7 linked regions of the Macaca mulatta genome follow. Each later gene encodes a partner of the first gene's protein in a complex. Links are inferred from orthologs where the notes say so. Each region holds a gene or a part of one and is shown in the gene's direction. Other genes may lie near its edges.

What was found.
Region 2: SMARCA4 (region 1) and SMARCC1 share a complex: the UniProt entries of both Homo sapiens proteins name them as parts of the BAF complex. The link is inferred for Macaca mulatta from reciprocal best matches to the Homo sapiens genes SMARCA4 and SMARCC1.
Region 3: SMARCA4 (region 1) and ARID1A share a complex: the UniProt entries of both Homo sapiens proteins name them as parts of the neuron-specific chromatin remodeling complex. The link is inferred for Macaca mulatta from reciprocal best matches to the Homo sapiens genes SMARCA4 and ARID1A.
Region 4: SMARCA4 (region 1) and SMARCE1 share a complex: the UniProt entries of both Homo sapiens proteins name them as parts of the BAF complex. The link is inferred for Macaca mulatta from reciprocal best matches to the Homo sapiens genes SMARCA4 and SMARCE1.
Region 5: SMARCA4 (region 1) and PHF10 share a complex: the UniProt entries of both Homo sapiens proteins name them as parts of the neural progenitors-specific chromatin remodeling complex. The link is inferred for Macaca mulatta from reciprocal best matches to the Homo sapiens genes SMARCA4 and PHF10.
Region 6: SMARCA4 (region 1) and PBRM1 share a complex: the UniProt entries of both Homo sapiens proteins name them as parts of the SWI/SNF-B (PBAF) chromatin remodeling complex. The link is inferred for Macaca mulatta from reciprocal best matches to the Homo sapiens genes SMARCA4 and PBRM1.
Region 7: SMARCA4 (region 1) and SMARCC2 share a complex: the UniProt entries of both Homo sapiens proteins name them as parts of the BAF complex. The link is inferred for Macaca mulatta from reciprocal best matches to the Homo sapiens genes SMARCA4 and SMARCC2.

What each region holds. Positions count from the first base shown.
Region 1 is NC_133424.1:11,698,517-11,702,504, forward strand, and holds the start of SMARCA4 (SWI/SNF-related matrix-associated actin-dependent regulator of chromatin subfamily A member 4), read left to right. Parts: upstream 1-1,188; 5' UTR 1,189-1,337; intron 1,338-1,472; exon of another isoform or gene 1,473-1,895; intron 1,896-2,139; exon of another isoform or gene 2,140-2,834; intron 2,835-3,438; exon of another isoform or gene 3,439-3,589; intron 3,590-3,988. UniProt on the Homo sapiens protein: ATPase involved in transcriptional activation and repression of select genes by chromatin remodeling (alteration of DNA-nucleosome topology).
Region 2 is NC_133407.1:111,146,820-111,151,005, reverse strand, and holds the start of SMARCC1 (SWI/SNF complex subunit SMARCC1), read left to right. Parts: upstream 1-1,386; 5' UTR 1,387-1,493; coding exon 1,494-1,688; exon of another isoform or gene 1,689-2,828; intron 2,829-4,186. UniProt on the Homo sapiens protein: Involved in transcriptional activation and repression of select genes by chromatin remodeling (alteration of DNA-nucleosome topology).
Region 3 is NC_133406.1:214,216,593-214,220,092, reverse strand, and holds part of ARID1A (AT-rich interactive domain-containing protein 1A), read left to right. Parts: intron 1-476; coding exon 477-622; intron 623-712; coding exon 713-822; intron 823-2,045; coding exon 2,046-2,255; intron 2,256-3,500. UniProt on the Homo sapiens protein: Involved in transcriptional activation and repression of select genes by chromatin remodeling (alteration of DNA-nucleosome topology).
Region 4 is NC_133421.1:65,026,263-65,030,558, reverse strand, and holds the start of SMARCE1 (SWI/SNF-related matrix-associated actin-dependent regulator of chromatin subfamily E member 1), read left to right. Parts: upstream 1-1,496; 5' UTR 1,497-1,579; intron 1,580-3,530; 5' UTR 3,531-3,575; coding exon 3,576-3,582; intron 3,583-3,758; coding exon 3,759-3,802; intron 3,803-4,296. UniProt on the Homo sapiens protein: Involved in transcriptional activation and repression of select genes by chromatin remodeling (alteration of DNA-nucleosome topology).
Region 5 is NC_133409.1:2,316,796-2,320,295, forward strand, and holds part of PHF10 (PHD finger protein 10), read left to right. Parts: intron 1-1,743; coding exon 1,744-1,897; intron 1,898-3,500. UniProt on the Homo sapiens protein: Involved in transcription activity regulation by chromatin remodeling. Belongs to the neural progenitors-specific chromatin remodeling complex (npBAF complex) and is required for the proliferation of neural progenitors.
Region 6 is NC_133407.1:116,140,845-116,144,344, reverse strand, and holds part of PBRM1 (protein polybromo-1), read left to right. Parts: intron 1-2,232; coding exon 2,233-2,418; intron 2,419-3,500. UniProt on the Homo sapiens protein: Involved in transcriptional activation and repression of select genes by chromatin remodeling (alteration of DNA-nucleosome topology). Required for the stability of the SWI/SNF chromatin remodeling complex SWI/SNF-B (PBAF).
Region 7 is NC_133416.1:63,321,811-63,325,310, reverse strand, and holds part of SMARCC2 (SWI/SNF complex subunit SMARCC2), read left to right. Parts: intron 1-52; coding exon 53-115; intron 116-797; coding exon 798-1,056; intron 1,057-1,302; coding exon 1,303-1,464; intron 1,465-2,512; coding exon 2,513-2,577; intron 2,578-2,809; coding exon 2,810-2,945; intron 2,946-3,027; coding exon 3,028-3,194; intron 3,195-3,500. UniProt on the Homo sapiens protein: Involved in transcriptional activation and repression of select genes by chromatin remodeling (alteration of DNA-nucleosome topology).

The sequences.
Region 1 (3,988 bases):
AGTCACCGTGCCTGGCCTCTTTTTTTGTTTTTTGAGACGGAGTCTTGCTCTGTTGCCCAGGCTAGAATGCGATGTTATAATCTCGGCTCACTGCTAGCTCCGCCTCCCGGGTTCACGTCATTCTCCTGCCTCAGCCTCCTGAGTAGTTTAGGACTACAGGCGCCTGCCAACATGCCCGGCTAATTTTTTGTATTTTTACTAGAGACCGGGTTTCACCATGTTAGCCAGGATGGTCTCGATCTCCTGACCTCATGATCCACCAGCCTAGGCCTCCCTAAGTGCTGGGATTACAGGCGTGGCCTACCGCGCCCGGCTAATTTTTGTATTTTTAGTAGAGACGGGGTTCACCGTGTTGGTCAGGCTGGTCTCTAACTCCTGACCTCAGGTGATCCGCCCGCCTCGGTCTCCCAAAGTGCTGGATTACAGGCGTGAGCCACCAAGTTCAGCCTCTCACACTGCGCTCTTTTGCTTATTAATCTTGCTTCTTGTCCTCCTCCCCCACTAGACCGTGGGCTCCACGGTGGCTGAGATACAGTAGCAGATCAATAAATATTTGCTAAGCTAATTAACGGCACTCGGGAGGTTTTGCAGAGAAGGCGGCCACGGTCGGGCCCCGCCTAGCTCCCCAAACAGGCCTTGCCGCCCCAGATCAGGGATCAAAGCGGTTCCCAAGCGCGCCCTTGGTCCGCGGAAAACCACTGCCCGGTCTTGGCCCAGGCGGCCGGTCCTACGGTCCAGGGTTCCTATTTCCGAGCCTCAGGAACCTCCTTTCCCCATGGATCCCACGGCCACCGGGATCCCATCCCCCAATTGCCCCGCCGCCACCGCCACCGCCGTCGCCGTCGCCGCCGCAGTGGCGCCCGCTCTGCGCATGCTCCCGTGCGTCAGGACGCGCGGCGTGCGGAGGGCGAAGCTGCCCGTGCGCAGGCGCGAGGCCTCGCAGCCCGAGTGGGGCGGTGCACGGGACGCGCGTGCTTCCTCCGGACCACGCCCACCTCTGTCAGCTCAGGAGCGGGCGCGCACGCGCGGGGGGAGAGGAAGGGCGGGCTGGCGCGCGCACAAGGCTGGGCAGGCGGCGGAAGCTGGAGAGGCCGCCGCGGTGCTGAGGGGGAGGGGAGCCGGCGAGCGCGCGCGTAGCGGGGGCGCGGGCGGCGCGCGTGTGTGTGAAGGGGGGGCGGTGGCCGAGGCAGTCGGGCGCGCGCGCGAGGCTTCCCCTCGCTTGGCGGCTGCGGCGGCTTCTTTGTTTCGTGAGGAGAAGCGAGACGCCCACTCTGCCCCCGGCCCCGCGCGGAGGGGCGGGGGCGGCGCCGGGAAGGCGACGGCGCCGGCGGCTCCCGGTAAGGAACGCGGGCCGCGGGGGCAGCGCGGCGCGGGGCCAGGGAGGGCGGTTTGAATGGAGCCGGGGCGCCGAGGGGGGAGGGGGCCGCCGGCGCGCCCTGTGCGGGACCGGGGTACGGCGGCGCCCGAGGGTCAAGAAGCGCCGCCGGCAGCCGCGCTCGTGGGGAAGGCCACAGCGTCGCGAGGCCGCGGCAGCGGCGGTCCCCGCGGAGCGGCGGGGTGGGTGGGGGGCCCGGGCCGCGTGGAGGCCGCGCGATCCTCTCTGCGCGCGCTCTCGCCGGGGTCGCCGGACAAAGCTCGCCCCCCTCGCCCGGCACCCCTACAGTAGCCCTCCCAATTGCAGCGGCTCCAACAATAGGCAGGCGTTGGGGCTTTTCTGGCTGCGTGTTAAGGGGTCCGACCCGAATGTTGCCTTTTTGGCGAAGCTACGATCTGGGCTCAGTAGCCAAACCTCCAGATATGTCCGGCGTCGGCCGGACACGGGCATTAGCGGCCCCCTTGGGCTAGCCGACTTCAAATTGTCTTAAAAACGCGTCATTCCAGATTTTCAAGGAAAGGTAAAGGACTCCCCCAATGACTTTCAGTTAGTGACTTCAAAATGTTTGCCCGGAATTGGGGTTGGGGATGGGGTCGGCGGCAAGTAAGGGAGCACGGTGGAAATCCTTTGCTGTGTAAAAGCATTGCTTTTCTTTTGCATCCTTTTTCCTCCTTCCCAATTGGTTTTTCAGATTAAGGCTTTTATTTTCAACGTGGACCTTTTAGGCGAGTGTTTTGTCCGGATCTTGAAGACACCAGTCTTGATTTTTGTTTTTTTTTTTTTTTTGGTCAATGTCTCCTTGGGGAAAGTAGAAAGGGAGTAAGCGGAAAAGCCACTTCGCAGGAATTTGAAACAAGTTTTCAGTTTGGATTGATAGGGTGCATTAAGCTTGATTCCTGGTGCTGTCAGTCACTTAGCACACTGTCACTTTAGGGAAGTGCTTAACCTCTCTGAACCTCTTAGTTTTCCTCCTTTGTGAAAGCTCCTTTGTGAAAGGGGGTAATCTCCCAAATGCAGTTGGTAAAAGCCTGTAAAATGGTTCCTGGCAAGTGGGAAGCACGTTGTTACTGTCTGGTTCAGTCTCCCTCATTGTTCAGCAAATAACTTCTTGAGGTCCTACTAAGTGTTGGATGGTCGGGGGGTTGGATCCTGGAACCTCTGCAGTCTTGGAGGGGATCGGGTGGTCAACGTGGGAACAAACACTCTTGGCCTGTCATTTAATGCTCTTGACCTGCGCTGTGAGAGGGACACAGCGGACAGGCAGGGGATCGGTGGTAGCCAGAGATCACGGGGGCTGCCTGAAAGAGGGGCCCTCAAAATCAGGGAGGATATATGTAGGATTGTATTTTGTTTTTGAGACAGAGTCTTGCCTGTCGCCCAGGCTGAAGTTCAGTGTCCCGATCTCCGCTCACTGTAACCTCTGCCTCCTGGGTTCAAGCGATTCTCCTGCCTTAGCCTCCTGAGTAGCTGGGACTACAGGTGCCCGCCACCACGCCTGGCTAATTTTTGTATTTTTAGTAAATATGGTGTTTCACCATGTTGGCCAGGCTGGTCTCAAACTCCTGACCTCAGGTGATCCACCCACCTCGGCCTCCCAAAGTGCTAGGACTACATGTGTGAGCCACCGCGCCAGAAGTGTATTTTGACTTTCCCTGGCCACCTGGGACTAGCCATTGTTCCCCTCAGCTATACTCACGCATCACCTTGGTCCTTTCCGGTGTAGCTGTCACCCCCAGCACCGTGAGAGCTGGGGTTGTGTCTGCCTGGCTGACCCCAGAGTACTCTGGGCCTGACACATAGTAGGTCTTTAGAGAAATTCTGTGGATTGAATGAGGGGGGTGGGGTCCTGTGGAAGATCACGTGACCATCTGTGTAAAAGGCTTGGTGCAGGGTGGGGTGCAGTGGCTCACACCTGACATCCCAGCAATTTGGAAGGCTGAGGTGGGGGAATTGCTTGAGCCCAGGAATTTGAGACTAACTTGGGCAACATAGTGAGACCTCATCTCTACAAAATATATAAAAATTAGCTGGGTGTGGTGGCATGTGCCAGTGGTCCTAGCTACTCAGGAGGCTGAGGTGGGAGGATTGCTTGAACCAGAGACGTGGAGGCTGCAGTGAACCATTCTTGCGCCCCTGCATTCCAGCCTGGGTACTAGAGTAAGAATGTCTCAAAAAAAAAAAAAAAAAAAGAAAGAGAAAAAGGAGAAAAAAAAGCTTGGTGCAGAACTGGGCATGGGTTGTAAGGGATACAGGTTAGTTATTTTAACAGTTTTTGAACTTTCCAAGCCATTGTTTCCCGAACCTCAGTTGTCTTCCTCTCCCCTACAAAGTGTGGGGTGGTGGTTAGCGTGGGGCGGTGGTAAGGAGTACCCATTCTGGAATCAGACCTCCTGAATTCACACCCAGCTCTTGAAATCCTAGCTTAACCTCAAACGAGGCGCTTAGCAGTAGGGCCCCCACTTGTGAAACAGGTAGGACGAGGATGCCTGAAACTTCACAGGCTTCTTGTGAGGGTTGAATGAGGTCACATGGGAAGCCGCTAACACACTGCAGCACCTGATGCATAGTGAACACTCGATTTTTTTTTTTTTTGAGATGGAGTCTTGTTCTGTC
Region 2 (4,186 bases), on another chromosome or scaffold:
CTGACCTTGTGATCAGCCCACCTTGGCCTCCCAAAGTGTTGGGATTACAGGCGTGAGCCATCTCGCCTGGCCCTCCTGATCACATTCTATTCATTTTTTTATTTAATATATTTTACTGTCCGTGACACAGCCCTCAGGAGATCCTGAAAACGTACATACCCTCATTTTTAAAAGGTCTCAAAACCTTATCAGCAGTTAGTCACTTTCTCATAAGCAATTAGTTACTTGCTTCTCTGAGATCATATAGCATTATGTTCACAACTCCATTATGGCCAGTCGTACTTTTTGAAACAGGGTTTTGCTCTGTCGCCCAGGATGGTGTCGTGAGTGGCGCGATTATAGCTCACTGCAGCAGCCTGCATCTCCCCAGCTCAAGCGATCCTCCCACCTCAGCCCTCCAAGAGGCTAGGAGCACAGGCTTGCAACACAATGCCCGGCTGCTTTTTGTACTTTTTTGGAGAGACGGGGACGGGCGTGGCGGTCTAGAGCTCCTGAGGTCAGTCGATCGTTCCGCCTCAGCCTCCCAAAGTGCTCCACGCCCGGCCAATCATACCTTGATAATTTAAAAATTTTCGGCTTCTATATGGGCCATTCATTAATTCATCAAGTATTCACTGTACATGTATTCATTGTCTCAGGTGTTCAGGATACACCTGTGAACAAGTTAAGATTAGGTTCTCATGTAATTTATGTGGAAGGTAAATGAGAAACTAAAAACACCGGGTCATGGTAAGCGCTACGCAGAAAGTGTATGGGTGTGAACAGTTCAAGATTGTAAGATATGACAACGGCTTTCTGAAGTCCTTTGAACCAGTGAATCTGAACGCGTCTCATAAGTGAAAATCAGAAGGGAAGACCCGCTGAGGTCTCCGAAACAGCCGATGCAAGGGCCCGTGGGGGCAGGAATGAGCCGCTGTGGCTGGACCCCTGAGGGAGTGGAAGGTCTGTGAAGCCGAAAAGCCTTGGCGTGGGCGTCCCAGATGGCTCTTCCCAAATGCCGCCGGGCCGCTGGGGGTGGAGGGTCTAAGGGAAAGCCGGGCCCGGCGCACTCGATACCCTAGGCAGGCTTTCCCCTCGGCACTTCTCGCACCAGACCTTTTCCCTTCAGCGGAGGCAGGCTATGACACAGAATCAACCTGCGGTTGTTAACCGCATAACGATTCGACGTCGGTAGCGAGGGAAGAGCATGGCTCAATAACCGGCACTCACTAGGGGAGAACGGAGCCTACAGAGGCTGGCGGAAGAGGCGGCTGGACGTGCTAGTCCAAGGCGCGCCCGCACGAGTGCTGCGCATGCGTATGCGCGGGCTCGCGTCGGATACGGCGCCAGTCCCGAGAGGGGGCGGGGCCGGGCGTCCGCACCGGAAGGGGGTTGGCTGGGCGGGGCCGGGAAGCGGCAGTGGCGGCTACGCGCGCGCGGGCGCGCGCGGGAACGAACGGGAAACACCGCGAGGGCTGGGGTGGGCCAGGCTGTGGGGACGACGGGCTGCGACGATGGCCGCAGCGGCGGGCGGCGGCGGGCCTGGGGCAGCGGTAGGCGCCACGGGCTCGGGGGCCGCGGCGGTAGCCGCAGGCCTAGCCGTTTATCGGCGGAAGGATGGGGGTCCGGCCACCAAGTTTTGGGAGAGCCCGGAGACGGTGTCCCAGCTGGATTCGGTGCGGGTCTGGCTGGGCAAGCACTACAAGAAGGTGGGTTCGCGCGCCCATGGGGGCCGGGAGACCACGCGACTGGGGCCGGAGGCGGCATCTGGCCTCGCGGGCCTCGGGCCTCCCCTCCCCCCCGCACGCCACGAGGGACAACAAAGGCAGGCGCAGGGCCCGCCACGCCCCCGCCGTCCGCTCTGGGCGCCCGCGCGCCGGTGGCCTGACGGGTCAGGCGCTTGTTCTTGTGAGCCCACGCACCCCTGGCGAAAGCCCCTGCTCAGTCTCGTGTGCCAGAGCAGGTCGAGCTCAGCCACTAGGCGAGTGTGACTCTCTTTTGTCAGCTGCCTTAGGTGTATGAACAATGATCCCTAAAGACCGAGCAAGCGTGGTAAAAGCAGCTTCAAGTTTTGTTTAGAGAGTATTCAAAGTCTCGAGGGGGTTTGCTACCTGTTGTTGATTTGCTAAACGACTGGGATGATTGTATTCGTTAATTACTAACAGGTAATGTGAATTCTAGGATGGATGAGAGCTATTAACGACGGTTTCTACCTCATTGTGCTTCTGGTTCTGTGTGGCGTGAGAGTTAATGTTCACTTGTACGTAAAGTGTTCTTCAGGGAGGCCTTCCGAGAACCCAGTTTTTATTAGAGCACTTTTCTTATGTCACCTTTATTTTCTTCGTAGTGTTTACCACATTTTGAAATTAGTCATTTACTTATTTATCCTACCTTTGGAATGGAAGTTCCGCCGAGTCAGTAGTTTTCAAAGTTTTGACTTAATCCCTTGTTTATAACATTTTTTTTTTCTCCAACTTCCCCTTTGTGTAAATATTCCGGAGAACTCCCTTAAAGGGTGTAATGAAGCAGGTAGTCAAAAAGGCTCCCCAGCCTCTGAAGTTTTCCTATCACCCTCTTTAATTCTGTACTTTCTCCTATTGAGGATCATAGCACTGAAGAAAGGGCTTTGTTCACTACAGTGTATCCGGGAACGTGGCTGATACTTAGTGCCTTACCCTTAGTAGCTGCTTAGTAAATATTTGTTTAATGAATGAAAAGATAAACTAGGAACCTATTTATTTGGCCTTTACAGCTCAGTGAAGCCTGTCAGTGTTTGGCAGTTATTAGGCATGGGCAGGGATCTTGGGTTCCTTTGGCATTACACGTGGTACATTCGGAAATGACCATTTCTGGCCGGGCGCGGTTTGGGAGGCCGAGGCGGGTGGATCACCTGAAGTGAGGAGTTCGAGACCAGCCTGACCAACATGGTGAAGCCCCGTCTTTCCAAAAAATACAAAATTAGTCGGGTGTGGCAGCACACGCCTGTAATCCCAGCTACTCGGGAGGCTGGGGCAGGAGAATAGCTTGAACCTAGGAGGCAGAGGCTGCAGTGAGCCGAGACCGCACCATTACACTCCAGCCTGGGTAATAGAGTAAGACTCTGTCTCAAAAAACAAAAACAAACAAGCAAAAAACAAACCCCAGAAATGACCATTTCTTTCTTTCTTTTTTATTTTTGAAGTTCAGCTGGGAAAAATTACATTTCTTGTCTGAAGTTTGAGGAAGTGAGAGACAGTAATTATATTTTTAGGTGCTTGGACCCCCCCCCCAAAATTACATTTAGACTCTAGATGTTTAGTAATATTGCCCTTTCTTACACAGTGATAAATTGGTCACTTTTTATTTTATTTTATTTTATTTTTGAGACGGAGTCTCGGTCTGTCGCCCAGGCTGGAGTGCAGTGGTGCGATCTCCGCTAACTGCAAGCTCCACCGCCTCCCGGGTTCACGCCATTCTCCTGCCTCAGCCTCCCTAGAAGCTGGGATTACAGGCACCCACCACCACGCCTGGCTAATTTTTTTGTATTTTTAGTAGAGACGAAGTTTCACCGTGTTCGCCAGGATGGTCTCGATCTCCTGACCTCGTGATCCGCCCGCCTCGGCCTCCCAAAGTGCTGGGATTACAGGCGTGAGCCACCGCGCTTTTTAAACGTAGGTAATAGAGCTTCCAGGAGTGGCTAGTGGGATTGAATATGTTATGAAAATATTGGTTAATTCTTTCTTATTACATTCCTTTTAGCCAATGCTTTGGGTCTTAAATTCAGTGAAGCTTTAACAAAGAAAAATAATCTAGAGATGTTCCTTTGAATATCAAGGAAGAGAGTAGAAAAAGGCAAATTTCAGTAATTTCTACCTCTCCACACTGTTCAGTGTGCATCAGTTTGGGACCAACTACAAGAAGCTTTAGGTGTGGATAATCATCTTCAGTATTTGTTTGGGTGGGTAGGGAAGTGGCTACAAAGCAGTTTGAAGAATTGCCCAGTAGTATTGAGACCACTAGGCTAATGTTGATTCACTATCCCTGAGACTTTATAGACAAAGTTGTCTTTGACTTCTCAGGACTTTGTAAAGCCAGAGTGTATTTCTGTGGTCTACTGAGATTGAGAATCATATATGCCCTAGGCCTGACAGCCAGAATCTTTTCAGTCTCTGGGTGTTAGTGTCGAAGTGGTGAAAATATTATCAGAAGGTTCTTTGCTTCTTTTCTA
Region 3 (3,500 bases), on another chromosome or scaffold:
CGAGCCGAGATCACGCCACTGCACTCCAGCCTGGGCAACAGAGCGAGACTCTATCTCAAAAAAAAAAAAATTAAATAAACTATTGTTCGCTATCCAGAACTTGAACTCTCTTAGTATCTTTTGTGGGATGTAGAAGATAAGAGAATCTGGGTGTTAGCTGGACATGGTGGTGCATGCCTCATAGTCTTAGGCACTCAGGAGGCTGAGGAAGGCAGATCGTTTGAGCTCAGGAGTTTAAGGCTGCAAAAAGCTATGATCACACCACTGCACTCCAGCCAGGGTGCCAGAGCAATACCGTATCTCAAGAAAATAAAGAAAAATAATATCCGGATGTTGCATAGTTCTAGTTTTGGGGACCCATCAGTGTTTTCCTTTTAATCCTAACTAGATGATCACACAGCATTATTTGGCTCAAGTTCAAATCTAAAAGCCCAGAGTCTAACCTTGTCTCTCTCACTTTCCATCTTCTTCCTTAGGCCGCCAGGCTACCCCAATATGAATCAAGGGGGCATGATGGGAACTGGACCTCCTTATGGACAAGGGATTAATAGTATGGCTGGCATGATCAACCCTCAGGGACCCCCATATTCCATGGGTGGAACCATGGCCAACAATTCTGCAGGTAAGTGCTAGTCATTCTCACTAGGGATTTCTTCAGGAGTCACATCACAGCTAAACTTACTGGTCTTGAGAATTTTTTTCTCTTTTACAGGGATGGCAGCCAGCCCAGAGATGATGGGCCTTGGGGATGTCAAGTTAACTCCAGCCACCAAAATGAACAACAAGGCAGACGGGACACCCAAGACAGAATCCAAATCCAAGGTAGCAATTTTTGTCTTGACTCTTTCAATTTTGTGTCCTATCTTTTTCAGTGGTAGGAAGGAAAAAGAAAAGAGAGAGACAAGATCCCAGCCTTTTATGACACCGGACTAGATAGTCTCTGAAAAAGCTGCTGTTGCCTCCTCTTATCATGAAGGGTCTCAGAATAATAGCTCAGTGAGTTGGGTCTGGGTTGGTCTAAGGGATCCTGGTAAATAACATAATATTCTCACAGCTGTTTGTTATGGGGGAAATGCCAGACCCTGCAGCATCAAACTGTTTGTACTGTTTGGCTGGTGCCCTCTGTGAAACCGTGCCTCCTGTACTCAAGCATTGATAGATGGGGTGTGCCATGGGCAACTAGTTGCTCTTCTCTTCCTGAACCTTACTCGTGGCAGCAGGAATGGTACCCTGTGTACTGTAAAGAAGGAGATAAGGCACATGAGACTTGATTCCTTGGCTTCCCTTAGGTTGGTCCTGGGTGTGCTGTTAGGCTGTGCAGAAGTAATGGGTCCTACTCAGCATTTGGGTCATTTGAAATATTTCTGTCCTTGGCCATACCTCACTTTCCCTATCTATATACGTAGGGAAAATAAAAATCATAGCTGTTACCTCCTATGAGTTTTCACCTCTAGCTCCCAGCCCTTTTGACCATCCTTCTGTCTTGGACAGGATGATATCCAAAGCCCTTCAACCAGGTGGGAAACCCTTCCTTTCTTTAGAAGAGGCAAAGAGTTTCTTTTCATTTTAGTCCATCCCATTGCCTCAAGATCATGTTGTGAGTTTTTCGATTTACCTAAAACATAGTACCTAAGTATGTTCAGGCTCCTGGGTAGTAGTGTGGGAGTAGTAGTGGCTTTGATGTCAGATGGACAAGGATTTGATCCTCAGCCTGCCACTTAAAAGCTGTGAGATCTTACGCTTTGCCTCCTGGTGCCTGCTTCCTTATCTTTAAAAATGGGGATAATTTTATAATATCTAATATATAAAGGCATCTAGCATCCCACCCAGTACATAACATATATTCAGTGTTAGCTTCCTTCCTTTATAGGAAAAATAAAAATTGGTTCTTTTTTGGCCCTTCAACCTTGTGAAGGCAGGGCAGGTGTTAGTGACCACCCCAGAGTAAGAAGCTTTAACACTGCTCCAGTCAAGAGACTTCTGAGACCCTTAGCATAGGCTTTGAATCTGACCCATTCCTATGAATTTTGACCTGAACCTTCCAGAAATCCAGTTCTTCTACTACAACCAATGAGAAGATCACCAAGTTGTATGAGCTGGGTGGTGAGCCTGAGAGGAAGATGTGGGTGGACCGTTATCTGGCCTTCACTGAGGAGAAGGCCATGGGCATGACAAATCTGCCTGCTGTGGGTAGGAAACCTCTGGACCTCTATCGCCTCTATGTGTCTGTGAAGGAGATTGGTGGATTGACTCAGGTGAGTGGGTGCCTGACACTTGACTGCCCCTGTGGTTTCCACAAACCCCTTTCTTAGGTACTCACTGGCTTCACGTGGTACCATGCATCCCACAGGGACATCATCCTCTCCTGCTCTCTGAGTCGAATATTGATAATATTGATAGACCAGGGAGCACAGGTTTCCCAGAAGATAAGGCAGGAAGCAGAGACCTCCCTGGTAGTATGAGGTATTAGCAGTAAGTTTACCGTGTATCTAGGGTCCCACTGAGATGCAAAGCTAGGGAAGGTCTGTGGGCATTCTGATTCCATGGGAGGCAATTTGGCATAGTAGCAAAGACAGGATTTGGAGAGATGGACCTGGTTTTGAGTCCCTTCTTACCCACTTACAACATATATGACCTTAAGGTGTGTAACCACTCTGAACCTTAATTTTCTTATTTGTAAAATACAAACACTATGTAACAGTATATAACTCACTAGACTATCAAAAGTTAGAAAAACCTTGACTTTCAGCAAGGTTTCTGCCACATAAATCGGCCTGCAAGATGGTACAGAGGCAGCCAGAGTATAAGTAGATCTTCCCATTCCTGGAATCTTCCCAGTAGAGACAGGATTTCAGGAACTGTTTAGTAGAAATAGCTTATTATAAAGGAAGAAGTAGTAGGAAATGATGTGTTTAGTTTTTCTGTATGGGAAACTTAAATGATAACCTGAATTGGACACCACCCAGAGCTTGCGCCTACTCTGATACCTTACAATTTTGTAGACTTAGCCTAGGAGGCAAACAGGTGAGGCAGCACAGGCAGACAGCAGACTGTGCCTTGCAGACTTTCCTCCTGTGTGTGTTCTGTAGTCACCAGACCAGAAGCCTGCTGTTGGATCAGTTTGTGGCTGAGCTCGGGGAGGCGTGGCAGGGAGGGACTTATTCCAGACCTTCTAAATCAGAAGAGGAAAACAGCTGTCACCAGCAGAAAAGAAAGTGATTGGAATGAAGCCAGCCAACAGTCAGTTACGAATTCCTTCTCCCTTCAGGCTTTATTCCCCTCCCCCACAAAGGAAAACAAAACAAAACAAGACACGTGCATACTGCCACATAACTGGCATGAGAAGCAAAGCCATGGAAGGCTTTTGAGGTGACTCCATGTATATTCCTGCCATTCTCCCTGATACTCAGATCTCATAGTCAAGTCTTCCCTGCCTATAGGGAAGGGGAGCTTTGGGTTAGGTTTCGCTCGCTTCTGATTGGGTGAGCTTCAGGGTTCAC
Region 4 (4,296 bases), on another chromosome or scaffold:
AGCAATTTCATGTACATTTTCTCAAGCACCACTCAAGCTGCCTGTCCACAGGGCAGACGACCTCTCCTTTAGTCTTTCTCTTGAATATGCTCTTCAATTCATTAATCTCTATTCATGAGTATAACAATATTGGATAAATTGGACAGAGCAGCACTTGTTCCTGGCTTTGCAGACTAGAGATGCTTCTATTCCCTGTTGGCACACTCAGGATGAGGGCTAAGGGCAGCCCAAGAATTCAGCCTCTCTCTCTAAATGTCAACTGTTTTCAAGTAACGACAGGTCAGGGGTCCCATCTGTTCATTCTCCTCCACAGTGGCCCACAATATCCGTCAGGTGTTTATGTATCCAAAGAGAAGGCTACTCACTCCATCTGGTAAACCAACATACTCATGATGTAGTGGAAAGAGTCCCGGAGTAGCACAGGGGGCTGCCTCAATACACATTTACTGAGCGTCTAACAGTGAATGAGTCAAGTCCTTCGTAGGCACTGGCAAGGGGAAGATGACCAATACAAACGGCTGAACCTTGCTTTCAAGGCCTTCATAAAGCACTAGAGATGACAAACACGGTCCGATACAAAGGGTCAGGTTCAGGACTCCAGTCATTATTATCAAAGAGCCACGGGAATACAAAGGAAGGATTACTAGCGGGGGAAGTTCCTGGAGGGCATCACAAAGAGACCTCTGAGCTGGATCCGGAAGGACAGATGAGTTTAAGCTGAAAGTGGGGTCGGTCGTTCCCGCTGGCGGGAACCGAAGGAGCCAAGGCAGCTTTGGGGCGGAGACCAGGTGGCACCCGCGGCGCTGCAAGGACACACAAGCTGTTGCAAGAGGGTCAACCTCTCCGGGCCTTGGCTCAGAAACCTGGGACGATTACACCCTAAAAGCGCTTGGAAAAACTGCAAAACTCGTACTGCTTTTCGCCAAAGCTACTACCGTGCCGTGAGGGCAGGAAGTCCTGCGAGGCGTCTGCGAGGACGCAAACGCCGCGAAGCGAGTCCTCCACGCCTCCATCCCCGGCATAGTGAAGTGTAGACTCTGGCCCACAGCCGAAAGGAAAGACCCGGGTCGGGGAGGGCCCCTCCAGGGGCGGGCTCAGCCGGAGTCTGGCCGAGCTGCGCGCGGCCACAGTGGTTCCGCGGCCTCGCGCTGAGTGCCTCCCGCCGTCTCCCACTGCAGCCCCCACCGCCCCTCCGCAAGGCCCGGCGCCTCCCGCCACCTCCTCGGTCGCTGCGGCCGCTCCAGCTCCTCACAGCCGCTAAACCCAGGCCTATCCCGCGGTCGGTTCTCTTCGGCCCTCTTCGCCGTGACGAATCGGCGCCCGGCTAGGAAAGTATCCAAATTCGGAGAGTTTTGAGGAACCAATGGGGCCTGAAAAAAATCCCGGAGTGTGCTAAGCATCACCGCATCCTCACTAGAAGGTTTATTTTTTCCAAAGAGGGTCGGGTGGGGCCCGGAAAAAAAAAAAATTAAGAAGAGTGTGGAAAGTGCGAGTGCGGAAGCTCCGGACGCGAGGGGCGGGGCGTGCGCGGGACAAAGGGAAGCGAAGCCGGAGCTGCGGGCGCTTTTTCTGCCCGCGGGTGAGTGTTTCCAAGTGGGCCGGACCGGGTCGGTGGGGGCAAGTCGTGGTGTCCCCGCTTGGCTGAACTCCGAGTTCCCGGGGGTTGCTGGGGTTCAGGCTTGGCCGTGGGGCCACAGCCGGGAGCCGGTTGCGGCCTCCTTGAGGCCTAGCAGAGCAAGGGTTGGAAGGGAGTCCCATCTGGGGCCCCCTCCTTGGAGGCAAGGCCGGTCACCCGAAATTGGTCAAAGCACCTGTGCATACCCCGTTTTAGGGGAGTTGCTAGTAAAGTACGTTCTCCAAGACAATGAGAGTGACCTCAGGAAGCCCGCGGGCGAGGCAAGTCCGTGGTTCTCACCCCCAGGAATAAGGTTCCCCCATTGGTTCAGGCAGCGACCTGAGGACTCAAGATGTGGCTTATGGAGACGAGCAGCGCTCTGAAATAGTTTGGCCTGGGTTTGAAACCCAACTCTGGCACTTCCTGGCTGCATATGGCTTCAGACAAGTTGTTTAGACTCTCCGAGACTCCCTTGTTTCATCTGTAAAATGGGGATAGCTGTACATATCAAGTACTTGTGACTGTTAAGCGAAATAGGGTCATAAGCCTACCCCGTATAAAGTATTTCTTGAACAAATATTTATCGGGTATTTATTTTTATGCCAGGCACCAAGGATGGATCCAACGGTGGACAAATGTACAAGCCCACTCTTAAATTTTATGTTCTAGCAAAGGAGAACCATAATTTTAAAGTATTAACAATGAAGTATAACGTACAGGGAGCTTAGCTTATGGCAGTTGTCAGGGTGCCCTGCAGCGAGGCCTGCTGGATGTTGACAGCTCCCTTAATGTGAGCAGAAAGGAAATCTACACCAGAGTCAAAGGTTTCTGACTGTTCTTTAAGAGGGAAAGACTCAGGTTGGACCATTGAGAAAATGAACTGTTTCTTTCCACACCAGGACTCATTCCTTACGCTCCAGGGAATTTCCTTAAAATGAGTAATAGAAGTGAAAAATCGGATCTATTCCACATAACTTTAGATGCAAATACCTCCAATAGTCATAGAAGTTTATTTGCCTTCTTTCTAAAGATGAATTTTTGTCTTTTTGTACCTCACTATTTGTGATGTATGTTGATGTAAAGAACAAGCTCACATGTGCCTGATTATGTTGTGAGCTGGTAATACTAGGAAAAAATTTCCTAAGAATTGAGCTGGGTCCTGCCATGGTCCCTGTTTCCAAGTAGCATACAATCTAGCCATATTGACAAGTTAAAAAAAGTTATAATAATATCATAGATCTGTGTAAACTGTATAGGAATACAGATGGGGGAGCAATTAATTCTGCCCAGGTAATGTATCAAGAAAGTTCCATTGAGGAGAAAAATTTTGAAATGGGCCGTGAAGGGTGAATAAGAATTTTTCAGGTAGACTCTCAAAATTTATTCCCAGCATTTATGAAGCTATTTACCACTCTTAAGAGAATGCGAAGTTCATTGTCATACCAATTACCTTTTGCACTGCTTCCAGGAATAAAATGCTGCCCAATTTTAATAAAAATTGTTATCCCAAAAACATGGTACAGTTGCTGATCAAGGAGCTGTCAGTATCTGGTAGGCCTTGTTGGGTTGGACTCTAATACATCACTTTGTATTCTCATGCTTGTATCAGTCCGATGAAATGTTTACATGGCGTCAGCAAAATGTTTTCCATACAAGAGGTAGCTTAGTATCCCAAGAAAAAACCTGAAAGTACATTTCTAAATATCCCCAGTACTTTATTTTAGTCATTTAATTCTAATCAACCAAATCTCCTATAAGAACTAGTTAAAATATGCAAAAGGCTTAATTACTAGGAATTAAGGTGAAGTAGTTTTACTCAGAAATACCAATTAAATTACCCTATTCATTAGGAAAACATTCTCGTATGCTTGCTGAGTTTTGATTCTCTTTTTTTTTCCTTTTTTTTTTATTTTAGTGTCTCAGATTCATTCTTAAGGAACTGAGAACTTAATCTTCCAAAATGTCAAGTAAGTTTCAATTTTTATATTTATCGATCTATGTTAATAAGAGACTAATGCCCTAGCAAGTGGGAATTCCAAAATACTCTCATTTTTTTTTCTTCAAAACAGGACCATTGGTAGTTTTGTTGCATAGTATTATATCTCAGTTGTTTACAAGAAGTTATTTATTTTCTTTCAAACAGAAAGACCATCTTATGCCCCACCTCCCACCCCAGCTCCTGCAACAGTAAGTTTTAATTTTCTTGTTAATGTAATAGCCAAGTCTGGCCTTGATACAAAAACCCAGATGTCTTCCAGTGACAGTCACTCAATCATCACAGCAACAGGATGAAATTCAGCTTAAAAGAAAAAAAAAAAAAAAAAAAAAAAGCATTTCCTACTAAATAAAATAATTATTTGCATCTTTCCTTGAACCAACCCCAACATTTAAAGAAACAATACTGTAAAACTCCAACCTCCTATGCTCAGTTTGTTTTGTTTTTTTCTTTGTAAATGGGAAATAAGTGAAAGTTTTACCATTTCTTTCTTATTAATCTTCACTATTAAGAGTCTTTAAGTTGTTACTGAATGAATGCTCATTCTGGCTTTTTTGTTAAACCTAACCTTCAACTGGTTATGTTTTTCTCTCCTTTCTTGTCTCTCTATAAAATTTTCATATTAAACAATAAAGCTTCTGAAACTATACTCATTGTAAGTATTTTCAAGCTGTTCAAGTAAAGA
Region 5 (3,500 bases), on another chromosome or scaffold:
TCACGTGCAGGTTAGAGTTTGAGAAACACTGACTTTTACTGCAGAGAAGATGAGAGAAGGAGCAGAGGGGCAGGCACGGGCACCTAGGTGCCTCAGCCACATTGCTGACCTGGCCTGGCTGCTGCTCCAATCTGGCCCCTAAATGCTACTTATCTCCTATTCCCAAACTGAATGTAACTGAAAAAAAACAGGGCTAACAGATTTTTTTTTTTTGAGACAGAGTCTCACTCTGTTGCCAGGCTGGAGTGCAGTAGCGCGATCTTGGCTCACTGCAACCTCTGCCTCTTGTGTTCAAGCGATTCTCCTGCCTCAGCCCCCCGAATAGCTCGGACTACAGGCACATGCCACCACGCCCAGCTAATTATTTGTATTTTTGGTAGAGGTGGAGTTTCACCATGTTGGCCAGGATGGTCTCGATCTCTTGACTTTGTGATCCGCCTACCTCGGCCTCCCAAAGTACTGGGATTAAAGGCCTGAGCCACTGCACCCAGCCCATTTTGTTTTAAAGTCTCAGCTTTTACTTCAACCTTAAGCCTTACTCTGGAACCGTATGTTTTTCATAATAGACTATTTTTTTAGAGAATAGAATTTAAAGTATAGTATCATAACTCACACCATTTGAAAGTCACATCTTGGGCAGAAATTTTTTAAATTAAAAAGGTTTTTTAATTCAAATTTAAATCATGGGCAGCAGTTTTTTTAAAAGTTTTTCTTCAATTTTTTTTTTTTTTTTGAGATGGAGTCTCATGCTGTCACCCAGGCTGGAGTTCAGTGGCACGATCTCGGCTCACTGCAACCTCCACCTCCCGGGTTCAAGTGATTCTCCTGCTTCAACCGCCCAAGTAGCTGGGATTACAGGTGCTTACCACCTCGCCCGGCTAATTTTTTGTATTTTTAGTAGAGACAGATTTTCACTCTGTTGGCCAGCTGGTCTCGAACTCCTGACCTCTGGTGATCTGCCCACCTTGACCTCCCGCAGTGCTGGGATTACAGGCGTGAGCCACTGCACTCGGCCTTAAATTTTTAAAAATTTTACTCTGGTGTCAGCAAATTATTAAAAGTCATATGCAAGTATACCAACTCCTTTGCTTTTTGGTGTGTTGTCTTAGTTGGAGAAGTCCTGATCCAGGGTCGCTTCCTGAATGAGGACTACTGAGGGTGAGAATGGAGGTGGCACAAAGCATTGCTGTCTGACCTAGGGGAAGAGATTGCCAATCTAGTTTCAGAAAAAATAGTTGATTAGATTTTTTAGAATACATGCTTCCCAAATTTGTTTACAATAATTTGTTACTAAAAATTTTGCTTTCTATATTAATATTAAGTAATATCATGTACCATGCACTGGTGTATGAGGTAGATGCTATTATTAGGCCTGTTTTACAAGTGGAGTGATAGCACAGAGAAGTAGCAAAGACCTGGAACAGTGGTGGACGTGGATGTGAGCTGGCAGTCAGACTTGGGGCTACTGACATTTTATTTACTGTTTTGTTTTTTTGGGTTGAGGGCAAAGAGGAGAGGCGCATTATCTCTTAGAATCAAATGCATATTTTACATAAGTCTAGTGAAAAGATGTTCAGGCTTTTTATTAACCCTACTTGATGACAAAAATTAAAAATTAATACTCTATTTTTCGGAAGTCTTTGGAGTTACTCAAGAAGTTTAAGGCTCTCTTCATAGGTCAACGATGAGTCTATTTATATTTAATAATAAAGGGAAACCAAAAATAAACGCTCTGAACTTCAGGTACTCACCAGATGAGCTGCGGTATCTGCCATTAAACACAGCCCTATATGAGCCCCCTCTGGATCCTGAGCTCCCTGCTCTAGACAGTGACGGTGATTCAGATGATGGCGAAGATGGTCGAGGTGACGAGAAACGGAAAAATAAAGGCACTTCGGTGAGAACATTTCTCTCTAGTGGGAAGCGTTTCCTTTCTCTTTGAATTTTTGCTAATTGCTTTCCTGGAATGTTACATTGAACTTCTGTCATCACCCTCTCTTTGAAAAAGGATGGTTGCATGTAATTTCCAGAAGGTATTCATCAAGAAAAGTTATTTATAGTATGTTTTGATAAAAAACAAGCCGTGTGTGGCCTTTGGTAAGATTTATACTTAAAATCGCCCCTTTGTAGTTACCATGAGCGATTTAGGCAAGGATATTGGAAAATTAGCTTACAGTCATTTATTCAACTTGTTGTCTCTTTAGCTTAAAATATTGAACAAAACAGAATTTGATCTCTTGACACAGAAATGTAGTTTTCTTAGTTTAGGGGAGTGCATTAACTTAGGTTTCTTTTGCTTAATCTTAGGCTTCCTATAGGAAAATATTGTGTTTAGTAATATGTTGTGCAATTTGTTGGGTTTTCCTGTATGACTCTTTTTTTGTAGCAAAATGCGCTTGCAAAACAATGGGCAGCTGGTGAATTCTGTGGATCTGAAGGAGAACAGAATCCCCTTGATGGTTTAGGGCTTTGATCACAGTGATGACATAGGGCTTTGAATTTCTTTAGCATTGTGTTTTAAGTAACTGGCTATTTCAGACTTTTCATTGAAGCCAATCTAAATGTGAGGTTGTGCTACCATTGAATGGACATTATTTCCTTGTCCCCAGCAGCTTCTAAAACATCTTTAATAATACATATTATGCAAAATAAGATGCTGTTCAAGTATTAAAGTGGTGATACAACTTTTCTCCTGTTATGTTGCTAAAAGGGGAGCTATGGCATGCAAAGGGGGATGAAGCTGACTTCCTTTCATACTGCTAGGAAAAGTGGAAACTAATCCAACATTATGGGAAAGCGTTTTGACAGTCTTACCAATTTAAGTTCCACAGAATTTGACCTCGCAAATCCACTAGTAGAATTTATCCTAAGGATTTAATCAGATGCTGAAAAAAATTTAATTAGAATAAAAAGGTCTGTTTGAGTGTTTACAGTATTTTTTATCCTGGAAGTTACAAATAAATTTTAATGCCCACAGTGGGTAATATTATATTACATTTATAGGATAGAAATGCAGTTCAAAGAATATTTAATGATTGTGAGAACATGCACATAATGCTTTTAAAAAAATACCAAAACACACACATGCATACACACGCAGTGTAATCCAGTTTTGTGTTTTAAAAAATGAGGGCACAATGAGGTTAGGGGGTATGTGTGAGTCTCGGTATCTTTATGTATATAAGTGGACACCCAGAAAAAAGATGAAGTGGATATATTAATGTTTCTAGTCAGTGTGTGTTTATCAGGGAGGCTCTAGATAATCTAATTTTTTCATTTATAATTTTCATAATTTATATGAAAGTTCTAATTAGAAAATTTAAAATTATAAAATGAAGAATTAAATCATTAGATATTGAGGTCTTAAACCTTGAATATATGCAATCTTTCACATCCTGTTGTAGATAGTTGAGGGATTGGCTCTGCATGGTTTAACATTATGAAAACACAAATGTGTACTCGAAGGAATTTTTTTTTTTTTTTTTTTTTAACTGCAGCAC
Region 6 (3,500 bases), on another chromosome or scaffold:
ACAACTACATTATTTCAATAGATGTAGAAAAGGCTTTTGGCATGTTAAAAACTCTAGATAAACTAGGTATTAAAGGAACATACCTCTAAATAATAAGAGCCATCTATTACAAAGCCACCCAACATACTGAAATGACCAAAAGCTGGAAACATTCCCTTTGAAAACCGATACAAGAGAAGAATGCTGTCTCCCACCACTCCTATTCAACATAGTATTAGAAGTCCTGGCCAGGGCAGTCAGGTAAGAGAGAGAAATAAAGGGCATTCAAGTAGGAAGAGGGGAAGTCAAACTACATCTGTTTGCAGATGACATAATTCTATATCTAATAAACCCATAGTCTCAGCCCAAAAGCTCCTTCAGCTGATAAACTTCAGCAAAGTATCAGGATACACAATCAGTGTACAAAAATCACTATCATTCTTATACCAATAGCAGCCAAGCCACGAGCCAGATCAGGAACACATTCTCATTCACAACTGCCACAAAAAGAATAAAATACCTAGAGATACAGCTAACCAGGGAGGTAAAAGATCCCTACAATGAGAATTACTCACTGCCCAAAGAAATCAGAGATGACAGAAGCAAATGAAAAAACATTCCATGCTCATGGATAGGAAGAATCAATGTTATTAAAATGGCCATACTGCCCAAAGCAATTTACAGATTCAATGCTAATCCTATCAAATCACCGATGACATTCTTCACAGAACTAGAAAAACTATTTTAAAATTTAGATAGGCACAGTGACTCACGCCTGTAATCCCAGCACTTTAGGAGGCCAAGGCAGCCGGATCACTTGAGGTCAGGAGTTCAAGACTGGGTGACAGAGTGAGACTCCATCTAAAAAAAGAAAAAAAAAAAAAATGTTTCCAGAAGAATAAAATAAATAACATTTAAAATGCTGATTATTAGCTCTTCCGTTTATGGAAAATTAACCTAAGGAAGTAATCAAAAATTTGGGCAAAGCCTTATCCTCAATAAAAACCTTATGATATTTGCAAATGATAGCTTGTACTGGAACTTTTTTTTTTTTCTTTTTTTGAGACAGAGTCTTGCTGTGTCACCCAGTCTGGAGTGCAGTGGTGCGGTCTTGGTTCACTACAACATTCACCTCCCAGGTTTAAGCGATTCTTCTGTCTCAACCTCCCAAGTAGCTGGGACTACAGGCACCCGCCACCATGCTGGCTAATTTTTTTATATTTTTAGTAGAGACGAGGTTTCACCATGTTGGCCAGGCTGGCCTTGAACTCTTGACCTCAAGTGATCTGCCTGCCTCGGCTCCCAAAGTGCTGTGATTACTGGCATGAGCTACTGCTCCCGGCGTGTACTGGAACTAATAAGTTTTACTTAACAAAAATAAAAGTCGGCTGGGCACAGTGGCTCACACCTGTAATCGCACAGTTTTGGGAGGCTGAGGCGGGCAGATCTGAGGTTGGGAGATCGAGACCAGCCTGACCAACATGGAGAAACCCATCTCTACTAAAAATACAAAATTAGCCGGGCATGGTGGTGCATGCCTGTAATCCCAGCTACTCGGGAGGCTGAGGCAGGAGACTCGCTTGAACCTGGAAGGCGGAGGTTGCGGTGAGCTGAGATTGTGCCACTGCACTCCAGCCTGGGCAACAAGAGCGAAACTCCATCTCAAAAAAAATAAATAAAAATAAAAGTCATTTTGAAAAAAGCATTTCCTGTCAGGGCAAGTGTTCATGATATATTAAATATATATACATATATATATAGTTTTTTGTAGAATATACATATTCCATATTTCTTCAATTCTATGACTGCATTAAATGTGTCATATTTGTGTAATAACTTGTTAGTGAAATGAAACACATTGAGAAGCCTTAAGGTGGAAGTGAAGTATATCAGAGATTATCTCTAGAAATACCTGATTTGAAACGACGTATGTACTTCTTTGTGCCTTTCAATATTATCCGAAATGACCATGTGATCATTTATTAGTAAGATGATGTTTTTATTCTATACATCCTTTGTGTAGTTACATATTCATTTAAATTAATGATGGTTGTAATTCAAAAATACAGTTTTGAGTAGAGGCTATTAGGAATGTAAAGATCATACTGTTGCTGATTCCTGCCTTCGCACGTTGCAAATGGAATTAAATGTATTGAATGTATTATTAGTATGTGTTGTTTGAATCCTACATCTGACTCCAGCATCCCTTTGGTGAGTACTTTTTTCCTTTATTTATTTATTTTTTTACCTAAGAAGCTGAAAAGAGTGAAGATTCCTCTGGTGCTGCAGGCCTTTCAGGCTTACATCGCACATACAGCCAGGATTGTAGCTTTAAAAACAGCATGTACCATGTTGGAGATTATGTCTATGTGGAACCTGCAGAGGCCAACCTACAACCACATATAGTCTGTATTGAAAGACTGTGGGAGGATTCAGCTGGTAAGTTTGTTTTAAATCAAAGAACAGTTTAGTGAGATATGACTATTTGACTTCTCCTTGCTCTTCAGGGAAGAAAATTTTAACTCAAATATCTTATGCCTTTCCATAATAATTGTTCAATATATCAATAAATGTAAGTAAGCACCCATCATATGAAAAACATAGGACCTATTGGGCAGTGTCATAGTTGAGTCAAAAGAAATACAGCTTCTTAAAGTCTGGTTGAAATTCATTCGTTCAGTTGATACTTATTAAAAACATACTTTGAGCCAACCTTTCTGTGGAGTGACAGAGATTCAAAAGAACAAAAAGTTCATGTTTTTCCCTTGCAAAACTACTCCAGTAAGGAAGATTATGATCAAAAAAGAAATTATTATAGAATGACATGCCTTGGCTTGGCATTTGTTTTCAAAAAGGCTTTCTAGAACAGTTGCCTTTAAATTGAGACATAGAGTATGCATAGAAGTTAATGAAACCAAAAGTTGGTGGAAATGTGATCCAGGCAGTCCAGTTCTTTGAGCTGTTTATCACATGAAATACTTTTGTATTCCTTCACCAGAGAGGTAAATATGTCCTTCAGTAGTATATGTCTACCCTTACTAAAGTGCACAACTCTAGGTATGTACTAACCAGAGCACAGTGGAGCAGGTCTCATCACCTGTCCTCCTCATTATATATTTTATATGGCTTTTAATATGAAGAAGAGCCTGGGTAACATGGCAAGACCGCTTCTCTAGAAAAAATAAGAAAATTAGCAGGGCATGGTCGCACTTGCTGTGGTCCAGGCAACTTGAGAGGCTGAGGCAGGATGATCACTTGAGCCCAAGAGGTTGAGGGTGTATATATATATGAGGGGGAAATAGTAGCATGCATTTTTTAGGCCTCATTACACTTTATTATTTTAGAGTATTATTTCTCCTATGGATAATTATATTAAACTGTAGCTGTAAAAATAAGCACAGTGCTAGGTTCAGATCATGGCAGAATGGATTGATGGTATATTTCCTAATTTTGCAAAGAATGTGTGATTTCTGAGCTGGACACAGTGACTTATACTTGTAGTCCCAGCTACTCAGGAGGCT
Region 7 (3,500 bases), on another chromosome or scaffold:
CCTCAGAGGTCACAGGCTCCTCTCTTCTGACCTGCCTGTGTTTCCCCTGCAGAGCAAAGCTGCAGCCAGTGCCACTCGTGAGTGGACAGAACAGGAAACCCTGCTTCTCCTGGAGGTAATTGGGGCAAAGAAAAGAGTTTTTCTCTGGAAACAGAAGTGGGCTCCGTGTAGAGGCTCACACCTGTAATCCCAGCACTTTGAGAGGCCAAGGCAGGAGGATCGCTTGAGCCCAGGAGTTCGAGACGAGCCTGGACAACATAGTGAGACTCTGCCTTTATGAAAAATTTAAAAAATTAGCCAGGTGTGGTGGCACACACCTGTGGTCCCAGCTACTCAGGAGGCTAAGTGGGAGGCTTGCCCAGGAGGTCAAGGCTCCAGTGAGCTGTGATCATACCACTGCACTCCAGCATGGGTGACAGAGTGAGACAAGACCCTGTTTCAAAAAACAAACAAACAAAAAAAGAAAACAGACATGTTGAAGTTGCTGGCCACACTTGTGAGTGAGGAGAGATCGTGGAGTTTGGCATGAGCAGAGCATGATCTTGCCCTGTCTCTCCCGTTCCCAATGCCTGTTGCACCTGCCCCAGGGACCAGCTCCAGGCTGGGGATTTGGGCCATTTCATTAACTTCATATCCTTTCTTAGTGCTACTTCAAGATCCCTCTTGGACCTAGCAGAGTACACAAATACCAGAACATAGAGAGCTTTGAAACCAGCTGCCCTTAGTAGGATGGGGGGAGTCGGCCTTCGAGAAAAGTGGCTAAGTAAGCGGAGTTATGTCTCCACCACTACCACCAGGCACTGGAAATGTACAAAGATGACTGGAACAAAGTGTCCGAGCATGTGGGAAGCCGCACACAGGACGAGTGCATCTTGCATTTTCTTCGTCTTCCCATTGAAGACCCATACCTGGAGGACTCAGAGGCCTCCCTAGGCCCCCTGGCCTACCAACCCATCCCCTTCAGTCAGTCGGGCAACCCTGTTATGAGCACTGTTGCCTTCTTGGCCTCTGTCGTCGATCCCCGAGTCGCCTCTGCTGCTGCAAAGTCAGCCCTAGGTAATGGGGGTGGGCGGTTCCACCTGGCCTTCTTAGTTTGCTTTTGAAGGGCTAGTTACTCAGACTGTGAATCCTCTCAAGTTTGGCTGCCCTGCTGTCCTTGTCTGTGCAGGCCTCAGCTCGGGCATCTGTCTAGGCTCCATACTGGCTTAGATAAAGACATGGGCTTGTGAGTAAGCTTTTGCAGGGATTGCCAGAACTGTCCCCCTGCGCCACTCCCAGCCTCATCCTTTCTGGGTCTTACAGAGGAGTTCTCCAAAATGAAGGAAGAGGTACCCACGGCCTTGGTGGAGGCCCATGTTCGGAAAGTGGAAGAAGCAGCCAAAGTAACAGGCAAGGCGGACCCTGCCTTCGGTCTGGAAAGCAGTGGCATTGCAGGAACCACCTCTGATGAGCCTGAGCGGATTGGTAAGGCCAGGCAGGTTCCCACATTTCTTGCCTTTCACAAGAGCCGGAGCCACCTGGCCTCCCTGTGCCATTTCTGCCTCAAGTTGGCATCAGAGCACAACATGAATGAGAAAATCGGTAGGGTTTTTATTTTCCCCATGAGCTTACCTCAGGGGCTCTGGACCTCTACTGGCCCTCTCATGAAGATTTTGGGTAGAAAAATCTTGGCCTGTAGAAGGGGCTATTAGAAAAGTCTTGTGAAGGCTGGGCGCGATGGCTCACGCCTATAATCCCAGCACTTTGAGAGGCTGAGGCGGGTGGATCATGAGGTCAGGAGTTCAAGACCAGCCTGGCTAAGATGCTGAAACCCCGTCTGTACTAAAGATACAAAAATTAGCTGGGCATGGTGGCGCGCACCTGTAATCCCAGCTATTTCGGAGGCTGAGGCAGGACAATAGCTTAAACCTGGGTGCCAGAGGTTGCAGTGAGCCAAGATCAAGGCCACTGCACTCCAGTCTGGGCAACAAAGCAAGACTTCGTCTCAAAAAGGAAAAAGTCTTGTGAAGGCTGGGCGCAGTGGCTCATGCCTGTAATCCCAGTACTTTGGGAGGCTGAGGTGGGCAGATCATTTGAGCCCAGGAGTTTGAAACCAGTCTGGGCAACGTGGCTAAATCCCGTCTCTACAAAAAAATACCAAAAAAATTAGCCAGGCGTGGTGGCATGTGCCTGTAGCCTCAGGTACACAGGAGGCTGAGGTGAGAGAACTACTTGAGCCCAGGAAGTCAAGGCTGCAGTGAACCATGATTGTGCTACTGCACTCCAGCCTGGGCGACAGAGTGAGACCCTGTCTCAAAAGAAAAAAGACAGGTGTTATGGAGAAGCTGGGTGCAGAGGCTCACACTGTAGTCCAAGCTGGTCAGGAGGCTGAGGTGGGAGGATTGCGTGGGCCCAGGAGTTTGAGACCAACCTGGGCAACACAGCAAGAACCTGTCTCTAAAAAAAAGAAGAGTGTTAGACACAGACGACTGTGTATTAGACATTTCCTGTTTTCCTTTTCCCATGGGCCCAGAGGAGAGCGGGAATGACGAGGCTCGGGTGGAAGGCCAGGCCACAGATGAGAAGAAGGAGCCCAAGGTACGGAGGGATTGCTGGGAGCTGCAGGGGCTGTGTGCAGCACTGTGGTGATGGGGGAATTGGCCTTGTTCAGCTTAGGTGGGCAAGGGCTGGTTTTGGACGGGGTTGTCTCCTAGAATGAAATCACCTCCGAAGTAAGAGGAATAAATTTAGTTCCCTGTCTGGCTCCTCTGTGTGAGAACTAATCACCCCAATCCCTGATAACTCTCCTTTTCTATCACTGGAATTTCAGGAACCCCGAGAAGGAGGGGGTGCCATAGAGGAGGAAGCAAAGGAGAAAACCAGCGAGGCTCCCAAGAAGGATGAGGAGAAAGGGAAAGAAGGTGACAGTGAGAAGGAGTCTGAGAAGAGTGATGGAGACCCGATAGGTGAGCCTCCCACAAGGGTAGGTGGGGGTGCAGGGAAGAGAGGTGAAACTGTGGGGCTAACTTAACCCTTGTCCTGGCCCAGTCGATCCGGAGAAGGAGAAGGAGCCAAAGGAAGGGCAGGAGGAAGTGCTGAAGGAAGTGGTGGAGTCTGAGGGGGAAAGGAAGACAAAGGTGGAGCGGGACATTGGCGAGGGCAACCTCTCCACCGCCGCTGCTGCCGCCCTGGCTGCTGCCGCAGTGAAAGCCAAGGTGAGGCCAGACCTTGAAGACCTCAGGGAAGAAAATGCCCACTTCTCTAATCTCATGTTACTTAGAGGAAATCCTTCCTCACTCACACCTTAAATAATGCTGACCTATTTATTTTTAATTTTTAATCTCTGGAGGAGGTAAAGTTAGTCATCCCTTCTCTAAGCTTTAAAAAAATATGTCACCATTGGGCCTGTTTTCAACCCTGTCGGTATTTGACTCCGTGTTACCCTTTGCCACAGTATCTCCATGTTTTTATTGAGACAGAGTCTTGCTCTATCAGATCTCGCTCACTGCAGCCTCCACCTC